Linked DNA regions of Pelodiscus sinensis. The protein of the gene in region 1 binds, or shares a complex with, the protein of each later gene. Links are inferred from orthologs where the notes say so. Each region holds a gene or a part of one and is shown on either strand. Other genes may lie near its edges.

Region 1 (7,210 bases):
TAAGGCAAAGGATGGATTATGGGTTTGGATTTTTTTGAATCTGTGATGGTAAGTTTTCATGAAAACTTTGTAAGGCTGACCTAAGTCAAACAGGAACGAAGGAAAGCAGAAAAACAGGTGAATACATGTGTGTGTATAAGAGGGCCATGCATGGAAACAGACTAAAAAGATTAGCTTTACGTGTGAAATTAGTATATTTCAAAATTTTGTCACCAAGATTGCATTTAAAAACATGTTTAGGGTGACTTGGCAGTGCAACATAGTGAAACATGGGAAATAAGAATTTTCCTCCTACACAAACAGAACATGGCAACACAGATATATGCTCAGTCTCAGAGCATTTGGTTGAAGCAACTTATTTTTTAAACAAACAGCAGCAGCCTTTCTTCCTCTCAGAGGGCATTACATCACAGGAGAAAATAAAAAGGGGAAATGTGAGGCTAATAGGGCAAGTAAGTGCAAAATATACATTTAATATGTGTACCCATTAGCAATGCTCTCCACTACTATGCAAAACTCGAGCTGGATTCATATTCCAAGTCTCTTACTCTTCAGGCCAGGAGCAACTGAGAGTGTTTCCAAATATATATTCAACCCAAGGAAGAATGCAAGTAAGTGCCTTATTGTTTTACAGTGACCCACACTGTTGATTAAATATAATGTTGACATGCTCCAAAAGAAGTCCTGTTCAAATCCTTCTGAGCCAGAAGGATGGCAGCTCCAGTACAAGTTGTCAGCGAAGCCAGAGCTTTTCAGGGCTTTAATATGAGGGAAAGAGATTGAATGATACAGGAATATGCAAAGACAGAAGCAGTGGTCTAATTAATTAATAAACCAATACTTGATTAAACCTCTGTTCCAGTTAACCTAATAGCTAGGTCCCCACAGTGGCTAACAATAAGTGTACTTCAGCGAGAAGCTAAACCCCCAAAGTCCCCCCAACTGATTGGGTACCACCTATGTTACACGTAAGAGAAAATATATTTATGACCACTGCATGCGATTGGGTAATGTGCTGAAATATAAGGTTTCATTATCTTGAACATAATATACCAAAAATGTACACGTGTGAACTGAAAAAAAATGTAAATCAATGCTTGTGTTTGTGTTTTAAAAAACTCAAGAAGTTTTAAACAGATATGAAATAAAAAATGAATTAAAACTGGGTGCAAAACTACATCCTAGTTATGGGTTTCCCAATTGTCTCAGCACTGTTTATTTGTAAAATAGTTTCCGTTATGTTTTACTCTTCATATTTCACAGAGGCTATTATTTTGGTCAACTAATCATGTGTGGTCTCTGAAAGTGTTTTTTAAAAAAGTGTTTACACCTATTCATATTCAACCTACCTGCCCATAGTTGTCTATGCCAGTTACTAATCTATTTAAGTTTAATAAATCAAAAGCTGTCCTTAGAGACTGGCCAAGAGTCGTAAGTCCCTCAGCTTGAAGGTTTTTCAATTCATTCATAAAGGTTGCATGGTTTTCTTTCCAGCCAGCCTGCAAAGAGAAAGGCAAGAATGCTTATCTTTCAGATGATAGCAGTATACATGGAGAGCCTTCTGTTACAGATTACAAAAATGGTTTCTTCCTCTCTTTCATGTATGAAGTTAAAAAATACCCCCACAAACTATCAACTCATCTTAGAGCCTTAACTAAGAACCCCTTCTGTTCTAAAGACTTCATATACCATCTCTCACACACACCCCCCAGCTCGCAGCCGTCCCCCTCGCAGGAGAATATCGGTGCTTGGTTTCACGGTTTGAGGTGCAAAGAGTGAGCCTATAAGTTATAACTTATTGAGGATCACTGAAATAACCAGAGCCTGGTCCACGGCAGCGGCCGGGGCCGGTCAATGACCTACAGCAGGTTCCCTTCTGATGTGTCATGTGGAGGCTCCGGGTCTCCACGCACAACAAGGGCGAAGCGCCCAGCCTAGGCTGCCCGGCCCTAAGCAGGTACCGCTCCTCGCCGCCGAACTCGCCTTAGAGTTGCTGTCACTTCTCCTAACTTGAATCAATATCCCCCACAGTCCATTGCTGCTCGCACACCGCACAGGAAAAATGTCGGCCATGTTGATGTCAGCGCCGCCGCCGCTGCCAGAGCCTGTGTGTGCCTGTGCGGGGCGAGCTGCGCTGCGCCGCGCCGCCGGGAGCGCGGGGGAGGGGAGAGGCGGGCGGACGGCCCGGGGGAGGAGGGCGATTCGCGGGGGTTACCTTGATCGCGTGGGGAGGCTCCTCGAAAGTGACCAGCATGTACCTGTCTCCTCTGCTGGCGGGGTCCCGGGCGCGGAGCTGCGGGCACAAAGCGCAGGGTTACCCGAGGGAGCCAGCAGCAGCGCCCCGCATGCGAGCCCCCGCCCGGCCTCCGCAGGTCCGCACCCCCCAACCCCGGGCAGCAGGGCGACCTCCCCCCCCCCACCTCAACCCACCCCCTCTCTCGCCGCCGCCTCTCGCAGGCAGAGCCGGTACCTTCATAAAAGTCTCTACAGCGCCTTTGGCTATGTCCAGATAGGTGGTGCCCAGATGGGTGCGCTGGTTCATGGAGGCGGACGTGTCTATCAGGAAGAGTAAGATGGGCATAGTGCGAAGCAGCAGCGGGGCCGGCGGCTACATGGACAGGGGCGGGGGTCAGACACGAGGGGGCGGGCGGGCAGTGGGGGCTATGAGTGCGCTGCACGGGGAGAGACGCCTCCCCGCGCCCCGTTCGCCTTTGTGTGAGGACCCTGCACAGGCTGGTTTATAAGGAAAAGGCGGACGGGGGCTGCACTGCTGCTGCTGCCGCCGCCGGCCCCCCTGTTGATGTTACTCAGAAGTTTCAGGCGGAGCAGCCGCGACCCACCCACCCCGACACTTTCTCTCTCTGACTGAGGCGCTTCCTCGCTCGCAGCCCGCTTTTAAGGCAGCCTGGGCAGGTCGGGAGCCGCCCCCTAAAGGCACGTCCACGGGCCACGTGACGGCCTCCCTGCCCCGCCATTGGACTCCCGACGACCCTTCATTAGCATATTTAAATCACGGGGAAAAGGGGAACGAGGCGGATCCAGCCACTGAAGGGAAGGCGGTTGACGAGCACGCGTTCCAGCTGCGCGCATGCGCGTTGCTGCTCCGACCGGGTGGGGGTGCTGCTGCAATGACATAGTCGCCCCCAGCTGCCCCGTTCTGGGAAGGGAGGAAGGGATCCATCGGAAAACGCTGAGGGAGACGGGGTGGGGGAGGGGCGCGGGCGTTGCTAGTGAGGTAATTCGGCCGTCGGACAGGCCTGTGAAGCTGCCCGCGAGGGGGCCGGAGGCCCGGCCGCGGGAGCGGCTACGGGGATGAGGCCCGAGCGGGGCGGCGGGGGTGTAGCGGGAGCCGCTTATCGCTGGGGTGGGGGAGGGGAGCGGGCCCGGGAGGCGGCAGGGCCTGAGGGGACGCGGGGGCGGGCTCCCCCGGCGAGGAGTCTCCTGCGCGCTGGCCTAGCAGCTCGGTCCCTCCGCGAGTGAGTCACGGGGCGGCGCCTGCTGCTGCCTGCGCGCCGCTCCTCTTCCGTAACGCAGGCGCCCGGCGACTCCCTGGGGCTGCGGGCCGGCCTCGCTGGGCTCCGGGCGGTCCCCGGCAGGGGCGGGAACAGGGGGGAGGCGGAACAGGGAGCGGGCGGCGGGCCCTCGGGGGAGCTGCAGTGGGGGCCAGGCCGCCTGCCCGCCCGCCCGCTCGCAGCCCGGGTCTGCAGGGGCTCACGGGAGGCGGGGTGCGTGGCGCTCCACGTCAGGAGGAGAGTGGGTCAAGGGCGGGGGCTTTGCGGGGCGACTCCCCCTCCCCCCCTCTCCGGCGAGGGAGAGGCAATTGCTAGGCGTGGGGCGTTGCAGCTTGTCTTTGGGAGAGAAGCGGAGGGGGATAATCAGGACGGATGCCTTGTGTGAGGACGGCGGGGCCCGTATTTTAGTGGCTGGGGCGCTACTGTCTTTCTCTTCAGCGGGGGAGTCTACGAGTTCGGATGGTCTCACATTGAGACAGCCTTGCATGCCTGGAGTGCTGTGGTTTTGACCTTAAAAGTACTGCACTTTTCTTCTAGTTGGATCCTGGGGAACTGAGGGTACTGCACTCTTCCCCCGCCCCCTTAAAGTAATAGTAACCAAATGCATGGTTTCTGCTTTCAGCACCTCCACTATAAAATAGTTCCAGCTCCCCTACTTGGATCTGAAATGTGACACTAACTTGTCGAATAAAAACAAGACTTCCACCTCACAAATCACTCAAGACCCACTCAAAGAACTTCAAGAACTAGTAAGATTTTGCCTCTCTTTAGTTTAAAGACGTCAAGGTGGCCAAGCCAGGCAATAGGGCCACAAGATCAGAGGCAACAGAAACAAAGTTGTGACACTCCCTTTCACTTGATGGTGAGTTACACTACTGTGCACACCAGAAGATTGATTATTTACAGACCAATGTGTTTCGTTAGGTTTTTAATGTATGAACAATTGTGTGAATATTGCACAAGCAGAAACATCCTAATTATAAATTAGGCACAGATTATGTTTTACAGTTTGTCTGGACCTGGGCTTTCTCTACCCATATGCAAGACACATAACCACAGACATGGAGCACCATGACATTTGAGGTACCAAATTGCCTCATATTTCATGGTGCCTTATGCAAGCTGGCTGCTATGTGTGAGCTCCGGCAGACTCCGTCCCCTATGGGCTGCATCCGGCTCCTACTGACCAGGCAGTAGCAAGCAGTATGGCTACGTCTACACGGGCCCCTTTTCCGAAAGGGGCATGCTAATTTTCAACTTCAGAATAGGGAAATCCGCGGGGGATTTAAATATCCCCCGCGGGATTTAAATAAAGATGTCCGCCGCTTTTTTCCGGCTTGGGGAAAAGCCGGAAAAAAGCGTCTCGACTGGCCCAATCCTCCGGAATAAAGCCCTATTCCGGAGGATCTCTTATTCCTACTTCAAAGTAGGAATAAGAGCCTCCGGAAAAGGGCACTTTTTCCGGAGGATCGGGGCCAGTGTAGACGCTCTTTTCCGGCTTTTTTAAAAGCCGGAAAAAAGCGGCGGACATTTTTATTTAAATGCCGCGGGGGATATTTAAATCCCCCGCGCATTTCCCTACTACGACTCATGAAATTTACATGCCCCTTCCGGAAAAGGGGCCAGTGTAGACGTAGCCCTCTTGTCTGTGCCAGTACGGGCTGTGGCAGGCATGAAGCCTGCCTCAGGGTCCGGCTGGGCTGCTGGCTATCTAAGGTAAGGATCTACTGGCCAGAGCCTACACCTGACTTCACCTACTCCCACTCCTCCAACCTGTCCCAGGTCACAACCAAAACCCTCTGTACCACCACTCCTGCACCAGTGCCCCCTCCAAGACCTGCATCCCAATTTCCTGCCTTAGGTCACAACTCCCTCCTGATCTAGGACACAACTCAAACCTTTGCAACTGTGCCCCAGGTCACAATCTCCTCCTAGACTCTCCAGCCCCCTCCTCCAGGTCAGAATCCTTTCTTGTTCCCATATGCACTCCTGGACTCTACACAAAAATCCCCTGCTCAGCGTAATAATCCCCTCTTTCACCCAACCTTATTAACAGTTAGTCTTCCTCTCAGACCCCACACCCTCTCCTACTCCTTAGTCCCCTATTCCAAGCTCCTTTCTGCAGCCAGCCTCCATCCAAGACCTAGCACCTCCTCCATTAATATACCTATGAATCATTTTCCCTGTTACCTGGCCTCTGACATTAGCCGCTCAGATCCTCTGCTCCAAAGCAACCATGTACCCCAGTTTTCTAGTTTTATCTTAAATCACTATTGCTGTAAAATCACACAGAACTTGTGAGCACTTACATTAAAAGAAAAGTATATTTAAGAGAATATAGAGATTCTATTAGCAACGAGAGTGTGATGGAAACAAATGGATAATACAAAACAAAATTTTAAGACCCGAACCTTGGTCTGCACATATTAATTACCCTTCCTAACTAATAAAATAGGATGTACAAAAAACTCTGCACTCAAAAATAAAACAGTTTAAAACTTCAGGGCTACGTCTAGACTGGCATGATTTTCCGGAAACGTTTTTCCGTTAAAAGCATTTTAGGAAAAGAGCGTCTAGATTGGCACGAACGCTTTTCCGCAAACGAACTTTTTGCGGAAAAGCGTCCGTGCCAATCTAGATGCGCTTTTGCACAATAGAGCCCCGATGGCCATTTTAGCTATAGGGGCTTTTTTGCGCAAAACAGTACTGTGCTGTCTACACTGGCCCTCTTGCGCAAATGATTTGCCCAAACGGGAGCAGCATAGTATTTCCGCAAGAACACTGACAATCTTACATGAGATAGTCAGTGTTCTTGCGGAAATTCAAGCGGCCAGTGTAGACAGCTGGAAAGTTTTTCCGCAAAAGCAGCTGATTTTGCGGAAAAACTGGCCAATCTAGACACAGCCTATATGTTTGATAAAACCACTGTAAAGGACTTGCAAATATGTGAATCCTTGCAGAAAAATATGGCTGGTGAAGAAATATTTTATTGTATTAACTTTATTACAAGAAATGAAATTAGTTGGGAAAAGTGTGTTGATGTGTGTAGTGGCAGCACCAGGGCAATAGTTGGGGACACAGCCAGAGTTGTATCGCGAATTAAGCACCAGCAGTCACTATGTCCTTCACCGACAAGTTCTTGCCATTAGAATATGTTTGTACCTCTTTAAAATGTTCTGGAAAAGACAGTGCAAATTATTATATACAAACTCGACCACTACAATCCAAATTATTCTGAATTCTGTGCAGAGAAGCGGGCAGCACATAGTTTTCCTTCAACATACAGAAGTGAAGTGGCTATCACAAGGGAAAGTGCTTGTTAGACTTTCTGAGTTTCATCACAAAGTATTAGTTTACTTTGTAGAACACAAACGCTGACTGTCTGATTGTCTGACAAATTACTCCTAGCTGCTGTACTTTGCAGATACATTCACCAAGATGAATGAAGTTAATCTGTCGCTGCAAGGAAGATATGTGAACATTTTCACCATAAAAGATAAAATTTTGTCGCTATTGCAGAAACTGGAATTACTTTCTTCCATTATTTGATCTGAGGAAGTGGGTCTGGCCCACGAAAGCTCATCATCTAATAAACCATCTTGTTAGTCTTTAAAGTGCTACATTGTCCTGCATTTTGCTGTAGAAGAAAAGAACATTGACTGCTTTCCTTCAGTGAAAAAGTTGTTCAGTGTATCAAC
Region 2 (6,856 bases), on another chromosome or scaffold:
CTGTGCATGTCATATGGAGTTAAAGATGAAGAATCTTTGCATAAGAGAAAATGTCCAGTGTTTCCAAATGCAAGCAGCACATCAATTTATAGACAGATGGAGTATAAACCTGCCACCTCAGAGATTCCAGAACTCCTAGAACAGAGAGATGGCAAATAATTTTCATAACCAAAGACAAAGTCTGTCTGAAGCTAAAGAAGTTCCAATCATGTGTATGTAATGTGCTGCCTGTCCCCAATCATTTCCTTAAAGATTTAGCTCAGAAATGCAGCAAAGGAGGGTCAAAAAACCTCAAACAAATGAAGTTTACAGCCTGCTGTTGCAGAACTGTCCCCTAAGATAATTGTACAACAATGGAAGGGGAAAAAATAAACATGTTATTGTGATGAATTCACATAGACCCACTATCCGCTACTCCAGGCATCCCCATTGGCATGCCTGCGGTAAACAAATATAGATGCAGTTTCTACTAATGAGGCAGGGAACAGTGAGGCCAAGGAAAATGCAATCATCTCAAAGGAAAAAAACAATCGCACAGGACTCCTCCTCTCCCATCCATAGAGGAAATCAGATGCCAGCTGCACCATCCTAGGAAGGAAGCAGAGAGGCTTCTGCACCTGATGAGCCCTGCAGAAATGAGCTAGTGGTATCACGGGATCCAGACAGGCGCTCCGGGATTTTAGCAAGATGAGCTGACTGCCTAGCACAAGCCGTTTATACAACACAACTTTATTTCGGGTGGCATCATTCATGCAAATTGCATCTCCTTTATGAGTTCAATCTATCTAGTCCCTCTGATTATTGAGCCAAGAGCACACAGCCAGTACCTAACAGACTTACTTTTCCCAACTCAATGTCCTGGGCCATTACATTTAACATCCTCCACTTTCAGTCCACATGCATTCAGCACTTGAAGACACTTCTCTCTGTGTTGCCAGTGTTACTTGAGCTCCAGAATAAACTGAGTCGATAGGACTTCACAGACAGGGAAGTGGGAATATGTTTCATACTTCCTCTTCCCCTCCAACCCCAAAAGGCACTCTTTCCTTCCCCTATTTGAAGGGGGAGGGGGAAATAAACATATGATCAAAAGATTTTTCAGGGCTAATGCAAAAATTGTTTCCAAAGAAAATACCCTGCAGACACATTTAGAGGCACTTTTAACCACTCCTTCCTATACACCAAAACTCACCACCCAAAACTGAGGTGCAAGAGCCCAACTCAGTTCACCTTGCTGTATGTATACTTACACCTCAAAAAAACCCATCCTGCTCATTTTTTAACTCCACAGCAAAGCAAAAAATAAAAACAGAATGTAACAGCCTAACAGAATTCTCTGCCACCTTCTCCAGCCATCATCTTTTTAGGCACTTTCCGGGCATTCAAAGCAATGTCTCAGATACAAAATATAAATATTATTTTAACACCTTCCCCCCACCTCAAAACCTGAGCCTCATTTTAAAAGTAAAACCAAAATAAAAACCTCATCCATGCTCATCTCCCGTACATTCAAGGAGCCACCCTCTTATGTCCACTCCATCCCCCCCCACCCCGCCCTCCAGTGTTGAACACATCAGCTACAACATCCCCTTAGGATTCTCACCTATCTCTTCCTCATGATGCATGCTCTTGCTTCTGTATCAAGCAGATTTGTTTTGGTAGTAAGCTATCACTAGTGTCTTGGACATACAACCACAAAAGCACTGTGCCATCCCCCTACATCCACCCACACTCATCCGACCCTACCAACACAGTGTCTCTTCTCTTAACAAGGACCCTCCCTCTCCCAAGTTCTTTCATAGGCATATTATTTGTTTCAAAGGTACCCTCCCTGTCCTCCTCATAGGCCAGTATAAAATTCCTCCGCGAAAAACACCAACCTCCTCTTCTTTCACCTTAAGTCAGTCATGCCACACACATTGTGTGTCTCAAGAATAGAATCTAGGTATTAATAGTGCACTCATCACCATAATGTCCCAACAGTGGGCAAGGTGCCTTCCTTCTTTCCTAATTCACCCCACCCACCTAGTCCTGTGTTCAACTCCCTGCAAAACTACAACAGCCTGCAGAATAGCCCAACACACCCTGCAAGCAGCAACAGAATCTGTCCCTGTCCTCTTTCCCTTTACCTGTCCCCTATTTCAGGCAATGTGCATAGTCACACAAATTTCAGACACCACCCATCATAGACTCACAGGGCTGGAAGAGTCCTAAGGAGGTCATCAATTCCAGTCCCCTGCCCAAAGCAGGACCAACCCTAAAAAGTCCACCAGAAGCAAGTCTAACCTGGTGCAAGTCCCACTTCCCAAACACACCATTGCTCTCCCACAATCGTGTGCTTCTAGCGCACATGGAGCCACCAGCCTTTTCCATCCCAGCAGTACACTCCTCAGCAAAACCCAACCTAAAAGGATTCTGTCCCTTTCCCACCCATCTACCCCTCCTCGCCCCAAAAAATCAACCTCACTCGCAGCCTGTATTTCAAAGAAAGCAAGAAAACGGCCACCGAACCACAGTGTTGAACTCCCCCAGCAAAAAAAAAAAACAACAAAAAAACAAGCCTGCCTAGGAGACACCTCCCTGCCCCCACTTCAAGGATACAAGGAGCCACCCAGATCCCTTCTACTGAACTCTCCCAGCAAAATGTGCACAGGCTAAGGGGATCTCCCCCTCCACCAACGCCAAACCCAGCACAGGGCAAGGGGACCTGCCACCCCCAAATCCGCCTCACGCAGCCTGTGCTCCAGGGGCTCAAGGAAGCTCCCCCCCATCCCAGGGTTAAACTCCCCCAGCCAGGCCCAGCTCAAGCTCAGGGGACCCTTCCCATGCCCCTCCCAAAGCAGCTCGGTCCCCCACGCCCAGCAACACTCACCTCTGGACGCTGGTCCCTTCTCCACCTCACCATGGAAGAGCGCAAGTGGGGGATCCCCAGCCCCAGTGTGAGGGGGGCAATAACGGGGGTGCAGAGGGAGGGGAGCAATGGGGGTGAAAATCCTTCCGCGTCCAATCCCCCCTCTCCGGCCCCCCCCCAAGAGAAAATCCCCCCTCCCCCCTGCTCCTTTTTTTTTTTTTTTTTTTTTTTTTTGGCTCAATCACACCAGACTGACTGTCTTTGTCTGTCTGGCAAGCGCCATGTTGATATCAACATCCGAGCTCCCACCTGCCGCCGCTGCGCAGCCCTGGGACTTGTAGTTCCCCCCTCCCCTGGGTGAAGGGGAGAGCCGAGGCAGGAGGACTACAACTCCCAGCGTGCCCTTCCGGAACGGCGCGCCGACGGAGAGAGGGGCTGGGGAGAGGAAGGGACTACAACTCCCAGGATGCACCTGGGGAAGGGGTGGCAGGGCATGACTTCATCCTGGGCAGGGGCGGGCGGCGGCAAGAGGACTACGAGTCCCATGATGCTCTGCGCGGGGGAGGCTGGGCAGGAAAAGGGGCGGATGGTCACAGTAAATAGCGCCGGCCGGGTAAAGCATGAAGCTGGTGAGTCTGTGGAGCTAGTGTCTGTTTGGGGGGGCTGGGCTGAAGGGTCCCCCCTCGCTCCCGTCCCGGGCATGGGGGCGGGTCCTGCCTCTGGGCTTCAGGCCAGGCCTGGTTGCCATGGCTACGCAGTAGGCCCTAGAGAGTCTACTGAGCTTGAGGGGGGGCTCAGCCTTGGTGGAGCGTGGGGTCGCCCTCCCCCCACCGCTGGGGAAACTGAGGCACTTAGCGGGGGCAGGCCCCGGGGCGGCGCGTCGTGCTCTGTATGTGAGGCGAGGCTCCAAAGGCCCCAACTGTGACGGGGGCTTGGGGCCCACTGGGCCAGGCCCTGCCGCGCGGGGGTCAAGGAGCCGGCCACGCGCTCCGGGAGGTAGAGCCCCGTTTCAAACGTCAACCGTTCAGATGCGACGGTTAACCGGTTAACCGTCCTCCTGCGGGCGGGGCTCCTCTGGCCGGGCCGGCGCGCCCCCTGACCATGGTGGGCGGGGCTGGAGCAGCCCCTGGCCCGGGCGCGGCGAGGCTCCACGTGAGAAGCTGAGGGGCAGGAAGGGGTTGGTGGTAGAGAAGGGGACGCTTTTGAGGGGGGGTGTTGCCGAGAGGTAGGTAGGGTGTGTGTAGGTAGGGGGGGGTGGGGGTGTAGGTAGGGAGGGTGGGGGTGTGTGTGTGGGTAGGGGGGGTGTGTAGGGGGTGTGTGTAGGTAGGAGGGGGGTGGGTGTGTGGGTAGGGGGGGTGTGTAGGGGGTGTGTGTAGGTAGGAGGGGGGTGGGTGTGTGGGTAGGTGGGGGGTGGGTGTGTGTGTCGGGGGGCCCACACTGAAAATCATCAGATGCTGCTGCTCCTCGTCTGAAAGTTGGAGACCCTAAGCCACTCCCAGGATGGGTGAACCCAGATTCTGAGGGTTTTTTTTAACTTGGAGCGATACAGTCTTTACAGGTGGATGACTTTGGCTTACTTTGAAAAACAGAAGCTTAGGGGGGTCGCCAAGTTCGTCTGTACAGGATCAACTTAAAAACAACAAATGGTTTGGTAGCACTTTATAGACTAACAAAACATATAGAAAAACATATAGGCTACGTCTAGACTGGCAAGTTTTTCCGCAAAAGCAATTGCTTTTGTGGAAAAACTTGCCAGCTGTCTACACTGGCCACTTGAATTTGCGCAAGAAAACTGACGATCTAAGGTATGATCGTCAGAGTTCTTGCGCAAATACAATGCTGCTCCCATTCGGGGAAAAAACCCTCTTGCGCAAATGCTTTTGTGCAAGAGGGCCAGTGTAGACAACTGAGAATCGTTTTGTGCAAAAAAGCCCCGATGGCGAAAATGGCGATCGGGGCTTTCTTGCACGAAACCGCGTCTAGATTGGCATGGATGCTTTTCCGCAAAAAGTGCTTTGGCACAAAAGCGTCCGTGCCAATCTAGACGCTCTTTTCCGTAAATGCTTTTCACGGAAAAACTTTTCCGTTAAAAGCATTTGTGGAAAATCATGCCAGTCTAGATGTAGCCATAGACTAAGAAAACATGTAGATGGTATCATGAGCTTTCGTGGGCACAACCCACTTCTTCAGATGACCGTAGTTTCCCACAGGCAAAGTGTGTATTATAATACGACACAGACTTGTGGGGTGCAACTCCTGTGGGTTCTGACTCCATCTCTGGCTTGTTTTGTGACTAGGAGAAAATCACTTACCTTCACTGTGGCTTAATTTATCACTGTAAAATGAATTTATGGAGAGGTAGATGAAGGTACCAAACCTGCAGACTTTTACATAAAAACAGATATTAGACTAGACCAAAGCTCCATCTAGCACAGTAGCCTGTCTTCCGACAGTGGCCAATGCTAGACACCATAGAGGAAATGAACCGAACAGGGAATAACCAAGTTATCCATTCCCAGTTGCCCATGGGGCTTATGACAAACAGTTGCTAGGGACCTCATCCTGGCTAATAGCCTTCACAACACCCTTTGACAAAGTGTTTATATGATTCAGGTCTATAAAATCATGACTTATATGGAGAAAGCGAATAAGAAAGTGCTATTTACTCTTCATAACACAAGAGCTAGGCATGACCAAATGAAGTTAATAGGCAGCAGGTTTAAAGCAAATAAAAAGGAAATATTTCTTCACACAATGCGCAGTCAACCTGTGGAACTCTTTGCCGGAGGAGGACCATAACAGAGTTCAAAAAAGAGCTAGATTAATTCGTGGAGGACAGGTCCATCAGTGGTTATTAGTCAGGATGAGCAGGAATGGTGTCCCTAACCTCTGTTGGAAAATGGGAATGAACAACAGGGTATAGATACCTTGATTATTACTTGTTCTGTCCATTCCCTCTGGGGCACCTGGCATTGGCCACTGTCAGAAGACAGGATACTGGGATAGATGGACCTTTGGCCTGACCCTGTCTGTCCTTATGTAGCTCTTTTTTCTTGGGTTTTTGTCTTAGGTCACAAGGGATATTCAGGTTTTTTGGCAATTTCATCCTGGACCCTCATGTATTTGTTTTAAATATGGAAGAACAAGACAAAAATAAATCCACACCAGTCCTAAGCAATGGACACCTGCTCAAAAGCCCAGTGAAGACAATGGAATGATGACCTCTGATTTTGATGGGCTTTTATTCAGGCTCTTGCTGCTGCTGCTGACCATTATAAAGGCAAATCCAACAGCAAACTCCATTGTATATATACTGCCTATAACTAGCTTAGATCCATAACTTTAGAGCACTGGTGCACAATCTGCACTGGTTTATGGATAAAACTTGAAGTGTTGGATTTTAATCTATAAGTCTCTGAATGGCTTGAGGCCTTGTTCCCTGCACGATTGTCTCTCTCCCTTGCCAAACTGCCACATGTCAAGTCAGCAGAGTCACTCATACTCAACATAAATAAAATGGTGGAGCATTCTCTGTGAGGAGTCTGTTGATTTGGAGCTTGCTGCTTGCTTTGATCTGCCAAATCCCAGATGTGTTAATTTTCCACATACTTTTCAAAGCCTTTCTCTTTCTCTCTTCTCTAAGGTTGTTGAAGAGGTCATAGGTGGATATATTTGTGGACAAACTGTGGTTCATGTGTTATGATCTTTAATTAATGGGACAGATACCAAGAGCTTTGGATGGGTGTAATTGCATTTTTAGAGAACTGAAGAAAAAATAAATAGCAAACTGGACCTTCCAGTTGGACAAGCCCAAGAACACAATATTTGGGATATGTTGCTGGTCTGTTTTTAATGAGCTTTAAGCAATAATAATTTATGATCTTGTTGAAATAAATTGAAAAGGTTAATATACTACAACTTACATTATTTTAACATCATACAGGACACTGAGTTAAGTCATAAAAGAAAAAAAGGGGGGGAATTCCATGTAGTCAAGAGAAATCA
Region 3 (7,062 bases), about 25 Mb from region 1:
TTGTGTAACCACTAAGATTTCATGTGGTTACATGACTGTTCAATTACGTGATATCTAACATCTCCAGTTAACTTTCTTCCCTGAAAAATGTTTTTATTTCTAGATATGATAGGCCAAAATCTCATAATGCTGATGCAACTGTACTGATTTCAGTGGGTTTACACAGGAATTACTTTGGCCTGATATAGTCTGTATTTGTGTGTAGCATAGGAATCTAAGGTCTTCAAAAAGAGAGATGTGCTTGAATCAGCTCTGAACATCACCAAACTTTGTTGGGTCAGAATCCATACCCAAATGCAGAACTAGTCTCTGACCCCTATTTCTTTTGGAGACACGGGACATGAAATCTTGATTACATTTTAGTTCACAAAGGCTATAGTTAACTTTAAAGACAGCTTCCAACTTGTTTGATTTTTCCACCTCTTCCTAACTTCAGCAAAACCAAACACATCCCCATGAAGTATTTCATGCCACATGTTACACCACAATAGAATTTTTCTGAAACATTTGGGTCACTATTATATAACTTATATAACTTCAAATCTTTCCATTAAAAAGGGGGTAAACACCAGGTAGATAAATATTTTATCAAGCATGTCTAAGTATTGCATGAACCTTGACAGATGGGCAAGACCAGGACACAGCAAACAAATATGTTTCACCTTTATTTACCTAATCTATATCAAATACTTATGAAACACAATTAAAGATAAAAATTCTCTTGTCACAGTATAATAGTAAGTTTCCTAGACTGGTATCCTAGAATTTGAAAAGCATATTATATACTTGTAAAGAAATCAGTGAAACTAGTCTTGGCATGAAGCAAAACAGTCTTTTATATAGAAGCTAACATTTTTAAGGGCTCCTTCTGGCTACTTTCAGAGCACATGTGGAGGTGTAACCACCATCAGGCAAATTTGAACCTGGGATCACTTAGGCTATGTCTACACTGGCAGCTTCTTGTGCAAGAACTCTTTTGCGGAAGAGTTCTTGTGCAAAAACTCTTCCAGAAGAGAGCATCTACACTAGCATGTGCTTTTGCGCAAGAGCATCCATGCCAGTGTAGACACTCTCTTGCGCAAGAAAGCTCTGATGGCCATTTTAACCACAGGGCTTTCTTGCACAAGAAATTCATGTTGCCTGTCTACACTGGCCTCTTGCGCAATAACAGTTGCGCAAAAGGGCTTATTCCTGAGGGGGAGCGTCAGAACTCTGGCACAAGAAGCCCTGATTTCATACGTTAGAACGTCAGTTTACTTGAGCAAGAACACGCGGACAGTGTAGACAGGCAGCAAGTTTTTGCGCAACATTGCGCTAGTGTAGACACAGCCTGGCTGTGTCTACACTGACTGCGTATTACGGAATAGGCATGCAAATGTAGCACTTTGGAAAAGGCAAATCCACGGGGGATTTAAATATCCCCCGCGGCATTTGCATTTTCATGGCCGCCGCTTTTTTCCGGCTTGGAGATAAGCCGGAGAAAAGCGTCCAGACTGGCGCGATCCTCCGGAATAAAGCCCTTGCAAGTAGGAATAAGAGATCCTCCGGAATAGGGCTTTATTCCGGTGGATCGCGCCAATCTGGATGCTTTTCTCTGGCTTATCTCCAAGCCGGAAAAAAGCGGCGGCCATGAAAATGCAAATGCCGCGGGGGATATTTAAATCCCCTGCGGATTTGCCTTTTCCAAAGTGCTACATTTGCATGCCTATTCCATAATAGGGGCCAATGTAGACGTAGCCCCTGAGTGTAGGAGCCTCTACAGCTTGAAATATAAAGCCAGCTGGCTCTCAGCTTAGGCTGTAGAGCTCCCTTGTCTAAGTGCCACTACGTGGGACAGTGAACCACCCTAGGTCTGTGGATTACAGAGGTATTTATTAAAACATGTTACTGAGAATAATAACAGGAATGAATTTCCCGTCTGTATCACTGAACTGAGGTACTCTTCCCACAGACAAAGAAAGTCATACATTTTTAACTGTGAACATAATCTATTGGAATAATTTGTCAAAGGTTGTGGTGGATCCTCCAGGATGGGCAATTTAAAATCAAAATAGAATGTTATTCTAAAAAATCTGCTCTTGTTCAAACAGGAATTATGGGGAGTCCTATACTCTGTGTTGTATAGGAGGTCTAGGCATGCACACAGGGAGAGATGCGAAGGTGCAAATGCACCTCCCTGACCACCCAAGTCAGCATGAGGGGGCTCCTCAGCCGCCTTCCTGGTGGTCTGCAGCTCGATCTCAGCTCCCCTCCTACTAGTGCAGTGGGGAGCCCACACGGGCACAGTAGCCTCACCCTCCCACATCCCCCCATGCGGTTGGTGCACTAGCATTAGCTTCCTACTGGTGGGGAGGGGAGAAACCCCAGAGCCTCACTACATGATCTGACTTGCAGGGAAAAAGGGCTCCCCCTTCCCCTCTCCTGGCTGGGGGAACAGCAGTGCGCAGGCTTGCTGCTGTTCCCACAGCTGTGGGAAGGGAAAGGGGAAGAGAAGTGCTCCTTTCCCACAAGCTGGATCACGTAGTGCGGCTCAGGTCTTTCTCTCTCCCACCCCCTCACTGGGAAGCTGGAGCTGGTGCTCCAACAGAATCCAGCCAATGAGAGCAGCGGGAGGCAGTGCCTGGGATTAGTATGGGGCAGAAAGGCAAATAAGTGCCCCCCCACCCCTTCATGCCCAGCCCCCTCACACACCACCACCACCCCCTGCTCCTGCACCCTCCCTCATGGCCAGACACCCTACCCCCAAGCCTGCTCCTGCATCCTCCCTTGCTCCTGCACCCTCCCCCTGGCCAGACACCCGCCCCCTACCCTGGTCCTGCAGCACTAGCAAAATGGCTTGGGTGTAATTATGTAATTAACAGTGAGTTTCCATTAGCAACTGATGATTCATGGAAAGGTTTGCATTGAACCAGGTGGTCCACAGGCCAAAAAGTTTGAGAACCACTGTGTTAAGTGGATGGGAGAGTGCTGTGTTGGGGGGTGGGTAGGCAAAGCTGGTGGTAGTGCAATAGGGCTGGGGGAATAGCGCCCCCCCCACCTGCAAGGAGCAGCCTGAGCCTGGCCCTGCTGGCCGGATGCCTCACCTGCTCTCAACCTAACCCTGGCCTCAACAAACAGGTAGAGCAGCAGCAGGCAGTGGTGGCCAAGGGAGCAGGGGGCCATGGTGGCCAGACTGCCCGCCATGATCCCAGAAGGTAATTTCTGTAAAGCCTTTATTGCTGTATAATTTTTTAGTATAACAAAATCATTTTACCAATCACTGTTTCCACTCAAATTTATCATTAACCTCTTTTGTGCACACTCATTGCATAACTATTCTGAACTCCTTTACATTAAAAAAAAATCGTGGTCCACATTTACATAAGAAGCATCCCTCCACAAAAATCCTTGCATATGGGCTTGAGGTCAGACTAGATGTTCACAATGGGCCTTTCGGGAATCTATGACTCTGTGTTGTCATTCCTCTCAGGCAACAGCCTGAGGAAATGACCTCGCTCTACGTGCCTGGGAGGAAATAACAATTCGGATTATCACGGGAGTACATTTGTTACTGACAGATATGCAACATCCTGTACATTAAACATGTAGATACAGAAATCGATTTGCGTGGGGCAAAAGAAGACGCAATGAATTAAAAAAAATCTTTCAGGAAATTAAAAATGTTGAGCCTGAGCTGTGCTGATTTGCCCCAGCTGAGAACCTAGCATAGGATCCTGATCCGCACCACAGCCAGGGGCCCGTGGAAGCCACTTATTAAAACAGATCCACCGAAGAGTCTAGAAATTGAAGGGCGGCTTGTATGATTCCCTTCGCTGAGCGGGGGTCACTGCTCCTCCAGCCCCTGCTGATTCAGCCCTGCTGTTCCCAGGGCTCACTTTGTTGTTCCCAGGGCTCACTCTTCTGCGGTTGGCCAGGAGTGTGAAACACACCTGGCCACGTGTGGGACATGCAGCTGACCACATGCTGGCCACGTGTGGGACATGCAGCTGACCACATGCTGGCCACGTGTGGGACATGCAGCTGACCACATGCTGGCCACGTGTGGGACATGCAGCTGGCCACGCTGGCTCTTTGCTGGGGAGTGACTCCTGGTTCCCAGCCCAGCGCTTCAGCACAGGGATCAGGGACCCTCCCACCAGCAAGGTGGCTTTCCTAGCGCTGAGCACTCCCACTGCGGGCACCACCCCTTGATTGACAGAAGCCCAGCGACGGGCGCTCCAGCCTCGCAGGCCTCTTTCTCCCTAGCCAGGGACTCACTGGCCATAGAGAGGAGACCTCCGCCTGTCTAGCAAGGACAGTTTATCTTCCCATCATCGCCAGCATCTCTATGGTTTCATTTCCGGGTGCGGTGGTGGAGGGGAGGAGAAGGAAGAAGGTACGGTGGCTGCGAGGGCTCGCGCCCTGCTGAAGGCGAACGGCGGCGGTGGCGGGCCTCGGCATGGCGGCGCACCTGAAGAAGCGGGTGTATGAGGAGTTCACTAAGGTCGTCCAGGTAATCCGCGAAGCACGTGAGGGCGGCTTGGGGAAGCCTCACCCCCGTCCCCGGGAGAGGGGCTCGGCCCCTGCCCGGGAAGGCGACTCCTGGGCGGCCTGACGTTTCAGGAAAACCCGCTGGAAGCCTGAGGCCTGGCACTGAAATGCCTCGGGACCCGCAGGCGGCTGCTCCTCTTCTGGAGCGCCGGGGAGCCGCGAAGCTGCCAGCCAACCCGGGGTCCCCCGCGAAATGGGGGCGGGGCCCCCCGGGGGGGGCTAGGGGCCCAAGGGGTCCCCTGCAAAGTGGGGGCGGGGTCCCCTGGGGGGGCTAGGGGCCCAAGGGGTCCCCTGTGAATTTGGGCGGGGTCCCCTGGGGGGGCTAGGGGCCCAAGAGGTTCCCTGCAAGTGAGGGCAGGGTCCCCGGGGGGGGGGGGGGGCTAGAGAGCCATGAGATCCCCGTGAAGTCGGGGGGGGGGGGCTAGAGAGCCAAGGGGTCCCCTGTGAAGTGGGTGGGTGGGGGCGTTAGAGGGCAGAGAGCCCAGGGGCATGGAGGGAATGCCTACCCCCCCCCCCCCCCAGTAGTGGCTGTGCTGGTAAAACCATGCACAGGCTGGAGCTAGTTGCTAGGAGCCCAGGCTCCCCTGCTTCCCTCTGTTCTGAGGTCTTGCCTCACTCTGTGGCTTTGCCCAGCAGCAGCAGCATGAGGAGATCTCTGCAAAGAAGCTGCGGCTGACCAAGCCCAGTAAGTCGGCAGCACTCCATGTCGATCTGTGTAAGGCTACTTCGCCGGCAGATGCTCTGCAATACCTGCTTCAGTTTGCCAGGAAACCAGTGGAGGCGGAAAGCGTGGAAGGAGTTGTCAGAATCTTGCTAGAGCATTATTACAAGGTAGGGGAAATAGCCTCAGGAGCAACTTTCATGGGACTTAGAGCTGCAAGAAATAGTGGGACTTTTGTATAGTTCTATTTCCTGACATGGCTCTTGTTGGAGAGATGCTCAAGTGTTGGTAACAGAATGTGAAGGTTCTAAAGTGATGTTGGGTTTTGGAGTGAACCTCCCCAAGCCTGATTGACAGAGTTGGGTTAGTCTCCTACTAATGCCCTAAAAGTAGCTGTATAAATAGGGCTTTGAAGTAACCACTTGGAGTCTAAAATGTAGAAAAGGGTGATGAACTTCAGAGCTCTCCCAATTCTAGTGGCCCATTGATTCTCATCATGCTTATTATTGATTCTATGATGCTTATTAAAAGTGAAGTTAAAAAGTGCACCGTGGCTTAACAACCACGTAAAAGAAGCAGCAAGAGATAAAAAGGCATTGTTTAAAAAGTGGAAGTTAAATCCTAGTGAGGAACATAGAAAAGAGCATACACTCTGTCAAAGTAAGTGTAAAAATATAATTTAAAAAAGCCAAAAAAGAGTTTGAAGAACAGCAAGCCAAAGCCTAAAAAGTAATAGTAAAATGTTAAAATACATCAGAATCTGGAAGCCTGCTAAACATCCAATGGGGCCATTGGACGATCAAGATGCTAAAGGAGCACTCAAAGACGATAAGGTCATTGCGGAGAAACTAAATTAATTCTTTGCTTCAATCTTCACAACTGAGGATATTAGGGAGATTCCCAAACCTGGCCATTCTTATTTCTTATTACAGCGACAACCTCAAGTTCACCTATCTTAGTATTTGAACTTCTTGCGTTTGTATACAAGCAGTTACAAAATCTGTTAATATGTAGTTGTCTGCCTTCAGGTTATGTAATTGAATGGGACTCCTTTTTGTTTGACTTACTCTTCAATTCCTATCTGTACTTTTATCAACTTCTATTCTCTTCTCCTTACTAGGCTATAGAGCTAGGGTGCCCAACACGCTAGCCACATATGGCTATTTGGCCTGTTGAGTGTGGCTAGTTTCAGAACTGGTTGGAAACCACGGAGTATCCTCTTTAATCCTCCCTTAAGTGATATGGTTGTCTAAACTGTGTGTTCCTCTGCATCTGTTGACTTGCCCACAGCTCTTAGTTCAAAAACTACTCTACTACTTAGGGATGTTAAGCATGTAATTCGTTAATTGTGTAGTCGACATAATTTTGTTGACTACATGATTACTCAATAAGGGTTAGCACTGTTACCACTCAGTCCCAGCTTGAGCTGGGTCTGGCAACTACTCCTGCTTTGGTTCTGCACTACAAGCACTCGTAAGGCAGAGCTGCAGCAGGGGTTGATGCTGGGTCCCGGCATGAGCGAGACTAGGGCTGTTAAATATCGGAACATTGAAAAGTCGATTAACCTCATAAATATTTATTGGTTGATAGACTGTTCTATAGTTCCCAGGGATGAGGCCGGCAGCCAGTGCGCTCTAGCCCCACTCCCGAGGAACCCCTGCCACTCTGTGCTGTCGGGGGGGGAGGGTGGGGCTAACCTCCCAAACCCTGCACAAGTCGAAACTGAGCCAGGCTGCCCGCCCGCCTGGCTCCTAACACACTTTAAATGCAGAGCCACAGCAGGGATAGGTTCTGGACCTGGCGTGAGCAAGGACTGAGTTGGGCTTCTGGTCAGCCTGCTAAAAAATGTACTGGCAAAGAGGAGGTGGGTG

What was found. The genes of interacting proteins can lie anywhere in the genome.
Region 2: INTS6 (region 1) and INTS9 share a complex: the UniProt entries of both Homo sapiens proteins name them as parts of the integrator complex. The link is inferred for Pelodiscus sinensis from reciprocal best matches to the Homo sapiens genes INTS6 and INTS9.
Region 3: INTS6 (region 1) and INTS4 share a complex: the UniProt entries of both Homo sapiens proteins name them as parts of the integrator complex. The link is inferred for Pelodiscus sinensis from reciprocal best matches to the Homo sapiens genes INTS6 and INTS4.

What each region holds. Positions count from the first base shown.
Region 1 is NC_134711.1:291,278,763-291,285,972, forward strand, and holds the start of INTS6 (integrator complex subunit 6), read right to left. Parts: upstream 3,024-7,210; 5' UTR 2,582-3,023; coding exon 2,471-2,581; intron 2,294-2,470; coding exon 2,216-2,293; intron 2,110-2,215; exon of another isoform or gene 2,074-2,109; coding exon of another isoform or gene 1,984-2,073; intron 1,500-1,983; coding exon 1,350-1,499; intron 1-1,349. UniProt on the Homo sapiens protein: Component of the integrator complex, a multiprotein complex that terminates RNA polymerase II (Pol II) transcription in the promoter-proximal region of genes.
Region 2 is NC_134713.1:4,737,456-4,744,311, forward strand, and holds the start of INTS9 (integrator complex subunit 9), read left to right. Parts: upstream 1-3,853; 5' UTR 3,854-3,952; coding exon 3,953-4,003; intron 4,004-4,005; exon of another isoform or gene 4,006-4,028; intron 4,029-4,051; exon of another isoform or gene 4,052-4,076; intron 4,077-6,856. UniProt on the Homo sapiens protein: Component of the integrator complex, a multiprotein complex that terminates RNA polymerase II (Pol II) transcription in the promoter-proximal region of genes.
Region 3 is NC_134711.1:316,726,653-316,733,714, forward strand, and holds the start of INTS4 (integrator complex subunit 4), read left to right. Parts: upstream 1-4,059; 5' UTR 4,060-4,438; coding exon 4,439-4,492; intron 4,493-5,163; coding exon 5,164-5,361; intron 5,362-7,062. UniProt on the Homo sapiens protein: Component of the integrator complex, a multiprotein complex that terminates RNA polymerase II (Pol II) transcription in the promoter-proximal region of genes.